Saccharomyces cerevisiae S288C: one gene and its partner. Changing the gene in region 2 together with the main gene of any one other region gives a genetic interaction. Each region holds a gene or a part of one and is shown on either strand. Other genes may lie near its edges.

Evidence for each region. Genes that interact genetically often act in the same process or in processes that back each other up.
Region 1: mutations in TDA6 (region 2) and MRX20 together harm fitness more than expected from each alone (negative genetic interaction), as found in Saccharomyces cerevisiae (one large-scale study listed by BioGRID).

The regions. Positions count from the first base shown.
Region 1 is NC_001138.5:240,350-245,763, reverse strand, and holds MRX20 (Mrx20p), read right to left. Parts: upstream 3,767-5,414; coding exon 3,755-3,766; intron 3,683-3,754; coding exon 2,765-3,682; downstream 1-2,764. Other genes in the region: BNA6 (nicotinate-nucleotide diphosphorylase (carboxylating)), read left to right, coding at 598-1,485; centromere-binding protein CNN1, read left to right, coding at 1,605-2,690; DUG1 (metallodipeptidase), read left to right, coding at 4,327-5,414.
Region 2 is NC_001148.4:837,825-845,776, reverse strand, and holds TDA6 (Tda6p), read right to left. Parts: upstream 4,512-7,952; coding exon 3,108-4,511; downstream 1-3,107. Other genes in the region: YPR158W-A (gag protein), read right to left, coding at 1-1,068; CUR1 (Cur1p), read right to left, coding at 1,757-2,515; TPO3 (spermine transporter), read left to right, coding at 6,000-7,868. UniProt on the Saccharomyces cerevisiae protein: Involved in vacuolar protein sorting.

The sequences.
Region 1 (5,414 bases), on a different chromosome or scaffold from region 2:
GTTCTTGTGAGAATAAACTTGTCTACTAATCGCAAATTTTTCAAGATTAACCTTCCGCACCCATTGAGGTACTAAACTGATCTACCCTACCTTTCCTAAATACCTAATGTCAGGTACATAATGCCAGCGACAGCTCAAAATCACGGGATACTAATTATTAAATAGTAGTAGCTTCTTCTCCACGCACAGTTCGATCGAAGGAGCTAATATTCGGCTTGTCATCTTCCATGGCCAGTAATTTTTTTTATTGTCATTTGGGACTAATGAGATGGAAACTAGAATTGTAGTTATACATCCTGAGGTTTCTATCAACTTGTGTGTCACAACGTTTTATATACTTGAATGCGTAGTAGCAAACCCCGGCAAGACGTAAGTTAACTTGTCAAAGGTACAAGCTTGGTTACAAACAATGTGATATTTCGCTCCAGGATATTTTTGCTTTTGGTGACGCCGGTTGGTTGAAGAGCCCCCATTTATCATGACTCCTACCGCAGTTTTCGTATATCTTGGGCCATAAATTCGAAAATTAAAGACACCACTTAATAACGCAACAAAAAGAACGCAATCCTCAGAAAGAACACACACCAAAAAAAAAAAATGCCTGTTTATGAACACTTATTGCCCGTTAATGGAGCATGGAGACAAGACGTCACCAATTGGCTGAGCGAGGACGTTCCTTCTTTTGATTTTGGTGGATATGTTGTTGGTTCCGACCTAAAGGAGGCCAATTTGTACTGTAAGCAGGATGGTATGCTGTGTGGTGTCCCCTTTGCGCAAGAAGTCTTTAATCAGTGCGAATTGCAAGTTGAGTGGTTGTTTAAGGAAGGCTCCTTCTTGGAGCCTTCGAAGAATGACTCTGGTAAGATTGTTGTAGCTAAAATTACTGGGCCCGCTAAAAACATTCTATTAGCTGAAAGAACCGCCTTGAACATCCTTAGTAGAAGTAGTGGAATTGCCACCGCCTCACATAAGATAATCAGTTTGGCGCGTTCGACTGGTTACAAGGGGACCATTGCGGGGACAAGAAAGACTACACCAGGTTTACGTAGATTAGAAAAGTATTCCATGCTTGTAGGTGGCTGCGACACGCACAGATACGACCTTTCCTCTATGGTCATGCTCAAAGATAATCATATTTGGGCTACTGGTTCTATAACAAACGCAGTTAAGAACGCCAGGGCCGTGTGCGGGTTTGCTGTGAAGATCGAAGTGGAGTGTTTGAGTGAAGATGAAGCCACAGAGGCCATTGAAGCTGGTGCAGACGTTATCATGTTGGATAATTTCAAAGGTGACGGTTTGAAAATGTGCGCCCAAAGTCTTAAGAACAAATGGAATGGTAAAAAGCATTTCCTCTTGGAATGTAGTGGAGGCTTGAATTTGGACAACCTCGAGGAGTATTTGTGCGATGACATTGACATTTACAGCACTAGTAGCATTCATCAAGGCACACCAGTGATTGATTTCTCATTGAAACTGGCTCATTGAAAATGCTTAGGCTTCGATTTTTACTTTTTTTTATTTACATATTCTAAATAAGATTAAGAAGCTACGCGTTACCGATTAATGACACACACGACGATTAGTAACGAAATAAGAAATGAATAATGAGCACTCCCAGGAAGGCCGCCGGTAACAACGAGAATACAGAAGTCTCAGAGATCAGAACCCCCTTTCGGGAGAGAGCCCTTGAAGAACAACGTCTCAAGGATGAGGTACTGATCAGAAATACGCCAGGTTATAGAAAACTTTTATCTGCTTCTACTAAGTCTCATGACATCCTCAATAAAGATCCGAACGAAGTACGAAGTTTTTTACAAGACTTAAGCCAAGTGTTAGCACGCAAATCACAAGGCAACGATACAACTACTAATAAAACTCAAGCACGGAATCTAATAGATGAATTAGCGTACGAAGAGAGCCAACCAGAGGAGAATGAGCTTCTTCGGAGCAGAAGTGAGAAACTGACAGATAACAACATTGGCAATGAAACGCAACCTGATTATACTTCCTTATCGCAAACAGTATTTGCAAAATTGCAGGAAAGAGACAAAGGCTTGAAAAGTAGGAAGATTGACCCGATAATAATACAAGATGTTCCCACGACAGGACACGAGGATGAATTGACAGTGCACTCTCCAGATAAAGCTAACAGTATCTCTATGGAAGTTTTGCGCACGTCGCCAAGCATTGGAATGGATCAGGTAGATGAACCGCCAGTACGTGATCCGGTACCAATTTCCATAACGCAACAGGAAGAACCACTATCTGAAGATTTACCAAGCGACGATAAAGAGGAGACAGAAGAAGCAGAAAACGAAGATTATTCGTTTGAAAACACCAGTGACGAAAATTTGGATGATATAGGCAACGATCCTATCCGTTTAAATGTCCCTGCGGTGAGACGTTCTTCTATAAAACCGCTGCAAATAATGGATCTAAAACATCTTACAAGGCAATTTTTGAATGAGAATAGGATAATATTGCCGAAACAAACGTGGTCTACTATACAGGAGGAATCTTTAAATATAATGGATTTCTTGAAACAAAAAATCGGCACGTTACAAAAACAGGAATTGGTAGATTCGTTTATCGATATGGGTATTATCAATAACGTTGATGATATGTTTGAGCTCGCGCACGAATTGCTTCCCTTAGAACTTCAATCAAGAATTGAAAGTTATTTGTTCTAAAAAAGATACCGTAGAGAAAATAATTAAATAGTGGCAATTTATGTACAGAAAAGAGTAAAAGATCCACAAAATTATCAAGACCTGGAAGAGAAGCCTAGTAACAAACTAACCTGTTCATAAACAGTGAACGTTAAGCCTCCTGAAATACCGACTTTCATAAACCTAAAGATGGAGCCCTTCCAGAATGTGGCCATGCCTTCTTGAACAAATATTCTATACATGCAATTTAAGGTATTTTTATATTCAGTTTTGGCATTTTGACTCATCATCCTTGTTTTTACGACGTCAATGGGCTGAGTCATTGCCACGAGTGTAAAAGATGTGGCTAACCCCGTTATTACTGAGGATGCCTTGTCGTTTCTTGCTTGTAACAACCGTTTAAATGCTGTGTATGCAGTAAATTGAATAGAGGTGTTAGCTATCTGCCTAAATATGGTGGCTGTTGTTCCCTGGACGAACGCAGCAGGGCCTCTTGTTTGATACATGTGTTTTACCGCTGGAAGTAGTTTCTCGATACGAGCCACAGGAGTAGATTTAGTCGCCACCTTGTGAAAGGTTGCCTTTGCGTTAACTACAGGTTGATTCTTCTCTAATTTTTTATGATCGATCATCGCCGATTGGATAAGGGTGGTTTTTATGTTTTCAAAAGGGATAATAAACAAACTTTCTACTATTCCTGTCAACGTACCAGCGATCAAAAGGTTATAACCAGTCAGTCTTTGAAAATTATCATTATTATCAATGTTATTATTCAGGGAGTGGCATAACTTGTCGAACGTAACGAACCTTAAAATAGTCTTACCAAATGCGGCCACGTTTAGGGCAGAGCAGCCAACAAAGTACGACTTAATCTGAGGTAAAATGATTTCGAAAGCGGTACCCTTCGGTTGCAATTGTAAACCAGTCTTTAAGTACTCAAATGGGTATGTCATTGTCGTTTGAAACACAGCAGCTACACTGCCGGCAGTGATTTGCTTGTAAAGGTCAGAGTTCTGCAAACGAGAAAAAAGAGAGCGTTAATAAAATAGCATTAGCGTCTTGGAACGAAACAGTTTACTACTTACCTGGTTAGCCATGTCGGGTGCTGTTCTTACTGCCCTTTTTTTACGATTCGACTACCTGTGAGAGCAATTACTTTTTCAATTATATTCGATTGAAAAATAGCTTAATAAGGCGGAAGAAGTTCCCACTTCTGTTCAAAGCCCTTTAAATTAAACAACCTAATAAAATCAGCAGACGCAAGAAGGAAAAACCTCTGACACCCTTTCCAGAAGTTATGTTGACAAGAAAGTTTGAAATTTTTGGATTAATAAGTCGATTTTATTATGACTAGCGAAGGCGAACTAAACAAGAAGTCGATTAAATCCCTCGAGTGATTGATAACTCCACAACACATTTTGTGCGCCAATCGGTGGGTTAAATACTCGAGCACATCTTTTAGAATAAGTATTCGTATTCTTTTAAGTTGACCAATGCCACAGCATATTTTAGCAATATCCCTTATATTCGTCATTCAAAACGGCTACAAGAAAATGTGTCAAAAAAAAAAGAGAGACTATAATAGCAACATGTTGTTCTTATCAATTGAATCTCCCTTCATTGTTAGTTCAGTTGCTCCAGAGCATCGTACACAAGCATGTCTCACTCACTTACTTCCGTTTTCCAAAAGATTGATTCTTTAAAGCCTCAGTTCTTCAGCAGACTGACTAAGGCTATTCAAATCCCCGCTGTTTCTTCGGATGAATCACTAAGGTCCAAAGTCTTCGATAAGGCCAAGTTTATCTCCGAGCAATTATCACAATCGGGGTTCCATGACATTAAAATGGTGGATCTGGGCATTCAACCTCCACCAATTTCTACGCCAAATCTGTCTCTACCTCCTGTGATTCTGTCTAGGTTCGGCAGCGACCCTTCAAAAAAGACTGTGTTGGTTTACGGTCACTATGATGTGCAACCTGCTCAATTGGAAGATGGTTGGGATACTGAGCCATTCAAGCTTGTCATTGATGAGGCTAAAGGTATCATGAAAGGAAGGGGTGTCACCGATGACACTGGTCCCTTATTATCTTGGATTAACGTTGTGGACGCCTTCAAAGCCTCCGGACAAGAATTCCCCGTTAACTTAGTTACTTGTTTCGAAGGAATGGAGGAAAGTGGTTCTTTGAAATTGGATGAATTGATTAAAAAGGAAGCTAATGGTTACTTTAAAGGTGTAGATGCCGTTTGTATTTCCGATAATTACTGGCTAGGCACTAAGAAGCCTGTTTTGACTTATGGTCTAAGAGGTTGCAACTACTATCAAACCATCATTGAGGGTCCAAGTGCAGATTTACACTCTGGTATCTTTGGTGGTGTTGTTGCTGAACCAATGATCGATTTAATGCAAGTTCTCGGTTCCCTTGTGGATTCTAAGGGTAAGATCCTGATTGACGGTATTGACGAAATGGTTGCTCCTCTAACCGAAAAGGAGAAGGCTCTATACAAGGATATCGAATTTAGCGTCGAAGAATTGAACGCTGCAACTGGCTCTAAGACAAGTTTGTACGACAAGAAGGAAGACATCTTGATGCACAGATGGAGGTATCCTTCGTTGTCCATTCATGGTGTGGAAGGCGCCTTTTCCGCTCAAGGTGCAAAGACTGTCATTCCAGCTAAGGTCTTCGGTAAGTTTTCCATTAGAACCGTCCCCGACATGGATTCTGAGAAACTGACCTCTTTGGTCCA
Region 2 (7,952 bases):
GCTGTTTCTCGATCCCTGTTGTTCTTCATAAATAGCATGGATATCTAAGAACAGTTCAGCGACTGTCATATTTAGATGTCGATGACGTGTGTAGCGTAAAAATTTATATTCGCCAGATAGACCTCTCATAATTAATTGACATGCGACCTTGTTATTGATATGAATGCCATTATTGTTCAGTCTGTCGATAATGTTTGTGACTTTTGTTTCAAATGCATCTGCAGGTGTACTGCCATTATATTGCAAATTTGCCAGGGTCACAATGTCGTTTGCCTCTTGGGTATCAGATTGCATTTTTTCAATACTTTTGGAAAGAATTTTCATGATATCCGTATAATCAACGGATAGGATGTCTTTGACCCAGGTAGGTAGGAATTGAGAGGGAGCAAATATTTGAAAAGTGTTATACAAGAAGGTGAGTTCATCATCAGTGATCGGACGTACGGGTTTTCCGTTTACTGTCGGAATAATACCACCGAGATTCGAGTTTTGTAAAAATTTGATGTATGTTTTAACCCAATTTGGAAAGTCATTAGGTGAGGTTAACATTGGTGGTGGTCTGACATATTTTTTAGTGGATGTCATATCAGAGTCCGCTGAGGATGAATCAGTAAATGTATTACCTGACTCAGGTGATGGAGTGCTCAGAGGCGTTCCAACTGATGATGGATACTGCGGAAACTGTGATTGTGGCCCAGGTGGAAAGTACATAGGCGACATTTGATAAGGTGTATACGGAATCATAGATGGGTGTCCGTAAAATGACCAACCAGATGGATTGGCTTGGTTTTGGGTCATCATGCACTGCTGTGGGTACGGCCCATTCTGTGGAGGTGGTACTGAAGCAGGTTGAGGAGAGGCATGATGGGGGTTCTCTGGAACAGCTGATGAAGCAGGTGTTGTTGTCTGTTGAGAGTTAGCCTTAGTGGAAGCCTTATCATATTCTTGAATTTTGGAAGCTGAAACGTCTAACGGATCTTGATTTGTGTGGACTTCCTTAGAAGTAACCGAAGCACAGGCGCTACCATGAGATATATGTGGGTAATTAGATAATTGTTGGGATTCCATTGTTGATAAAGGCTATAATATTAGGTATACAGAATATACTAGAAGTTCTCCTCGAGGATATAGGAATCCTCAAAATGGAATCTATATTTCTACATACTAATATTACGATTATTCCTCATTCCGTTTTATATGTTTATATTCATTGATCCTATTACATTATCAATCCTTGCGTTTCAGCTTCCTCTAACATCGATGACAGCTTCTCATAACTTATGTCATCATCTTAACACCGTATATGATAATATATTGATAATATAACTATTAGTTGATAGACGATAGTGGATTTTTATTCCAACAATTTCTTTACCTGATATTATAACCTTTATCAGTGGTGGATTCCCAACAATTATATGACTATACGCCTTTTCTTACTTAAAAATTTAGAGGAGTACCTTCAGATAATGCTGAGGAACATACCCCTTGTTGATACTGGTATGAACATTCTTAAGACGGGTTCAAACGCGCTATTAGCGATGCGCTAATTTTTTTTAGAATTCAAGCGCCCAAGAGAAGGGACAATGGAATTTTTTGAAATGCATAATAATACTTCATATTTGCTACTAAATTTATCAAGTTTGATATCTATAATTGTAGAATTAGAATATGTAATATTTTGTGATAGAGTAGAAAGCCTTACAGGGTGACACTCAATTTGAAGACACACGGTAAATTCCGTAGCCCGTATTTCTTACCGCCCATTCAATCTTCTAGATACTTCCTTTTTGATGATACTTTCTTGATTACTTCGACTAATATTAAAAGCTCTTATCTCCTGCTCTATGTCATTCAATTCTTCTATCTGATTGTGAGATGTTGAAACCCTATTAACGGCGCTATCATTCTGTAAGCCATTGCCATTGAAAGGTACTTCAATCCACATAACGCCATAAATCTTATCAAAACTGTCTGCAGACATGCTTGTTCCACAAATTTTAAAGTTGTCATCAATTATGTTATTGAAGGAGAATTCCCTGTAAAAGTGATCATTGGCACTAGATATAATAATACCGTTTGTCAAGCGTGATAATTCTAGGTGATAGTCGTCGAATAATATTTCGATCGCCTCTATATCAATATTGTTGGGGTCCAGTTTCTCCATAATCTCAGAAGTTAGCCTATTTTCGTCGACACTCTGTTCCACATAAATTTGATTACCGTCTTTGTCTGATATCAGTTCATAAGATGGTATGTATACTTTTTCCCAAATCCTCGATAACTTTTGTTTGACAATTTCTGCAATGAGTTGGCATGTGATTTCTTTATGGAGAGAAATTATGTAAGACTGGTTTACCTTTCGTACAGAAAAGTGTGGTTGGCATTTATTCTCTCGAAGGGGTGGACGTAGTTGCGGCTGTTGTATTTTTCTTTTCTTGCGGATCATATCCAGTGGTCCATCAGATACATTAATCTCAAGAAGATTAGGTTGACAAATGCATGCGGCAGCCATTAGTCAGTTTTCTGTTTTACGACCAGTCCTATCGAGTTCGGTGCGTTGAGGAAACAAGGGATGGAGTAGTCTTATTGTAGCTTATGAAGGAAATTTTCATTTTTACAAAAATAGAAAGTTGGAAAAAAAAAAAGGCTATAAGATATATCGCAATTATTTTTCCCTTTCTCTTTTGAGTAGGAAAGTTCCCTTTTTTCTATGGAGTTCTCTCGCGTTCTTCTGGGAAATGATTTTTTTTTCCACTGCTTTTGAGAAGTGTGGCGCTATCAATTGCAGAAGGAAAGAGCAAGACATCAGGGACTGATGAACAAGACCAGAAATAAGGGTCTATTTGAATTGAACGTCATATTTGGTTCCTGTGCTTCTAGCCAAATTGCTTTTTTATCATATTTTGTGCTTGTGTGTTTATTTAGATTTAGTTGCGATCAAGTGTAGAAACACATTAAAAACTATGTTGAAAAACATAAAAAGTATTTGCAGATCATTAAACATTAGAATTAACTATTTATCATTAACTATTATATTAGATATTACTAAAGATTAAAATTTGTCATTATATTACAATCAGAACATTCTGTTGTCATAAAGTTCTTCAATTGGTGAAAAATTCCATAAGAGAACAGAGTATACCTCTCCACATTAGAAATCTTAGAATTCCTCTCAGCCATTTTGGTCTGATTCTATAGAGTAGGACACCACAATTATCACCCATAAGATCAGTGCTCTCAGAGTCCAAGCCTTCTGCTTTTTTTATCAATCTTCTTGCGGGGCAGCCACCATTCCAGAAATTCCACTTTTTCACACCGCCGCATAGATTCAATCTATCCAATTTCTTAAACAGGGGGCCACGAGGACCTCCGATATACTTCCATTGAGCTACGCACCATTTCTGTCTTGGATCTCTAGCTGGTAGTTGTTGATCACCCCATCCACCTTGAAAATGCAACCAATCCAAACCGAGAGATTCTTCTCTCTCTGAGGAGGGTGTCACAGTTTTACCATCAAAAGTATAGGAGTAAAAGTTCAAAGATGGATCCCACAGGGGACCACGATCGGTAAAATCACTCAAAGGCATGAAAAAAAAAGGAATGTCATGAGCATGCTGCCCAGCGGATGCATAATTAGCATGCGTGCCTCTAGCACTAAAAATCAACGGTCTTTCCAGTATAGTATCCCCACCATCGTCACTATCTTGCTGTTTTCTTTTCCGTAGTTTCTTAAATTTCTCAACAGCTTCGTATCTGTAGCCTGTTCCACTGGAATGCGCACTCATCCAAAGATATTTTGGAATACCTTTATAAAACCGAACCAAAGAGTGTTCCCAGTCACCGACGTGATTGCCCCAGGGTCCATGGCCCATAATAAAAGGGCCATGATTGAATGGGTAGAAGAAAAACCAGAACGCATCAACCCACCCGTTCCCCTTGTCGACTACGATCAGAATAGCAGGCGCCTTAGAGTTGTAGCCTGTTCCGTATTCGGGTAGATGACCGAGCAACCATTTAGGGTCCTTGTCGAAATCGTCCAAACTGGTTAAAAATACCTCGCTACTGGGGATATGCGTTTCCGTTTTGTTGCCAAATAAATCTACGTGGTATTCCGCCTTCAAGTCATGCAGTGTCAAATTTTCATGAGTGGATATAGAATTGCCGTTTTTATCTTTAATTTGGAAGTTTTGAACGTACTCAGCAATGTCCGATGGCCAATATTTCTCTTCGCTATACAAGTGCACTAAGGGACAATGATTGATGACATAAGATGGAATCTCTCCAGGCGTATGCAGACTTCTCTGATCATCTGTCACATCTGTGGAATTTAGTATGGGCGGCAATTGGCCGTCGACTTTGAATCTGTTCCGTTGACCCATGGCCATGTCTCTTTTCATCAAAGGCTCTAACGGATCATAATCTTTCAATGGTGGAAGGACAAGCGCCCGTATGACGCTTAGATCTACTATTAAGAACCATAACAATATTCGCGCTAGTACGCAATGCATTCGCTAACTGAATTGAAGTTTGCTTTACCTATTGAGTACTTTATCAAAGCTGCCTTCTTTGTCATTGACGGTAGCTTCAAAAGAAAAGGAAAGTTCAATTGTTAGTTCTATTATAAAGAAGAGAAATTTCAATTTTACATATTCGGAACTTTCTCTTTTTTCATTCGGCTAGTACAACTACGTAGAGAGTATATCTCGCATCCGTCGTATGAGTAACGAGTTATGCTTTCCTTCAAAAGAAGGGTTCTTCCTTTTTCACTTTTTTCTTCTTCCTATTTACACGTAGGACAGCGAATACGGAGTCATGAAACCTTAATAATGCGCTGTTTTTTATTTTTTCTAAGTTTCAATTTGATTTTGTCGTTTCCGTCATAGCCATATAACTAAATTGAGATATAAACTATTTTTATTTTTCCGAGAACGGCCACTGCTTTGGGGCATGCATTATACGATTTCTCGAGAATCCGGTGAAAGCGTATACCCAAAAGAGCAACATAATTGACTGACCCACAATTTGGTTAGAGACATGCTATGCTGATCCTGCATATCTCAAACAGGCAATATGATAACATACATAAGCAATCTCGGCTACGCGGATTTTGTGTGGGTCTGAAAAAAAAAAAAAAAAAAAAAAAAAATAGCGCGGAGCCGGGTGAGAACGTTGGACGGGTAACATAAAAACAGAGCTCTTTATATAATCAAGCATTCCCTCCATACAAAATGTGTCTGCAGCCACGTGCAAAGTACGGTCGTCGTGTGCTAAAGACCAGTAAGTACAGTCTAGCGGGCCTCTGACTAGCTTCTCTGTGCTTGGCGAGGGGTTTACTGGAGCCCAATCGGACTAGCCGGGCTTCGTCACTGCGGCAATGTCTTCGCCCAACGGATCGGAACAGCTCACTGATTTCACCCAAACGGGAAAAAGGAAAAACAAAAACAAAACAGAACGGCGTAGTTTCCGGCAGCCATGATGATCCCTGATCCATAGAGCCATTTTTTTCATTTATTTCCTAATGCATTTTGTTCATATTCTGGATCTGCGTTAAACGCTGTAAAACTGGCTCGTTTCTTTTATATATCTTGCAATCATTCGCTGCTCAACCATCCTAGTCTCTTTTTACACGTACCCTTTTTCCACTTTTTCTTTTAGTTTATATATTCTTTTCGCCTAAGAACATTTGTCTTTGTAATCTACTTAACTTAGCAATTGTCAGCTGTCCTGTTACAACCTGTTCTCCAAAGTGAATACAATAAGCAGTATTTGCTCTTTTTCGTCTAGGTGCGTTGATCTAATCTTCTTTTTATTTTTCTTCTTCGTTCAGCCTTTTTTGTCCTCACCGGTAGCGTTCACCCTAATTCTTTAATTGTCATACCCATAATTATACTACAAATTTCGTGGTCTAGTTTTCTAATATAACTAATTACTTTCTCCCTTCTTACTTCATTATTTTAATTTTGCATTAGTACTCCTCTAGCCAAAGATAAACAGAAATGAACAGACAGGAATCCATAAATTCGTTTAATTCAGACGAAACATCTTCGTTGTCTGATGTAGAAAGTCAGCAGCCGCAACAATATATCCCTTCAGAGAGTGGATCTAAATCCAACATGGCTCCTAATCAACTGAAGTTGACCCGGACGGAAACCGTGAAGTCATTGCAGGACATGGGTGTGAGCTCCAAAGCCCCCGTTCCTGATGTTAATGCTCCTCAATCTAGCAAGAATAAGATTTTTCCTGAAGAATATACTTTAGAAACCCCTACAGGTTTAGTTCCTGTCGCCACTCTACATTCCATAGGTAGAACTTCTACTGCGATTTCCCGTACGAGAACTAGACAGATCGATGGCGCTTCTTCGCCTTCTTCTAATGAAGATGCTTTAGAAAGTGATAATAACGAAAAGGGTAAAGAAGGCGACTCTAGTGGTGCGAATGACGAAGCTCCAGATCTAGATCCGGAAATTGAATTCGTTACCTTTGTGACTGGCGATCCAGAAAACCCCCATAACTGGCCTGCATGGATCCGTTGGAGTTACACTGTCCTACTGTCAATCTTAGTTATTTGTGTCGCCTACGGGTCTGCTTGTATCAGTGGTGGGTTGGGAACCGTTGAAAAGAAATACCATGTAGGTATGGAAGCCGCTATTTTATCGGTTTCTTTAATGGTTATTGGGTTCTCGCTGGGTCCTTTGATTTGGTCTCCTGTTAGTGATCTTTACGGTAGAAGAGTTGCTTACTTTGTTTCTATGGGTCTTTATGTCATCTTCAATATCCCTTGCGCCTTAGCTCCAAATCTAGGTAGTCTTTTAGCTTGTAGATTTTTATGTGGTGTTTGGTCATCATCTGGTTTGTGTTTAGTTGGTGGGTCTATTGCCGATATGTTCCCAAGTGAAACAAGAGGTAAGGCTATTGCTTTCTTCGCTTTTGCTCCTTACGTTGGTCCCGTTGTTGGTCCACTAGTTAACGGTTTTATTTCCGTTTCTACCGGACGTATGGACCTGATTTTCTGGGTCAATATGGCCTTTGCAGGTGTTATGTGGATCATATCTTCTGCCATCCCAGAAACGTACGCTCCAGTTATCTTGAAGAGAAAGGCTGCTAGATTAAGAAAGGAAACTGGTAATCCCAAGATTATGACTGAGCAGGAAGCGCAAGGTGTCAGTATGGGTGAAATGATGAGGGCTTGTCTGTTGAGACCTTTGTACTTCTCTGTCACTGAACCTGTTCTAGTTGCTACTTGTTTCTACGTGTGTTTGATTTACTCTCTACTATATGCGTTCTTCTTTGCCTTCCCTGTCATTTTCGGTGAACTATATGGCTACAAAGACAACCTTGTGGGTTTGATGTTTATTCCTATTGTTATCGGTGCTCTTTGGGCGTTAGCCACAACTTTCTACTGTGAAAACAAGTATTTACAAATTGTCAAACAGCGTAAACCTACTCCTGAAGATCGTTTGCTAGGTGCTAAGATCGGTGCTCCATTTGCTGCAATTGCTTTATGGATCCTGGGTGCTACCGCTTATAAACATATTATTTGGGTTGGTCCAGCTTCAGCTGGTTTAGCTTTTGGTTTCGGTATGGTGTTGATTTATTATTCATTGAATAATTACATTATTGATTGCTACGTCCAATACGCATCCAGTGCTCTGGCTACAAAGGTTTTCTTAAGATCCGCCGGTGGTGCTGCCTTCCCCTTGTTTACCATTCAAATGTACCACAAATTGAATCTGCACTGGGGTTCTTGGTTGTTGGCTTTCATCTCCACTGCTATGATTGCTTTACCTTTTGCATTTTCTTACTGGGGCAAAGGTTTGAGACATAAGTTATCCAAGAAGGATTATTCCATAGATAGTATTGAATAAGAGTAACGATTTTACGAATCGAGCATAATAATGAAAAATTATAGTAGTAGTAATGATAAAAACATAAGCAAACATAAGCAAACA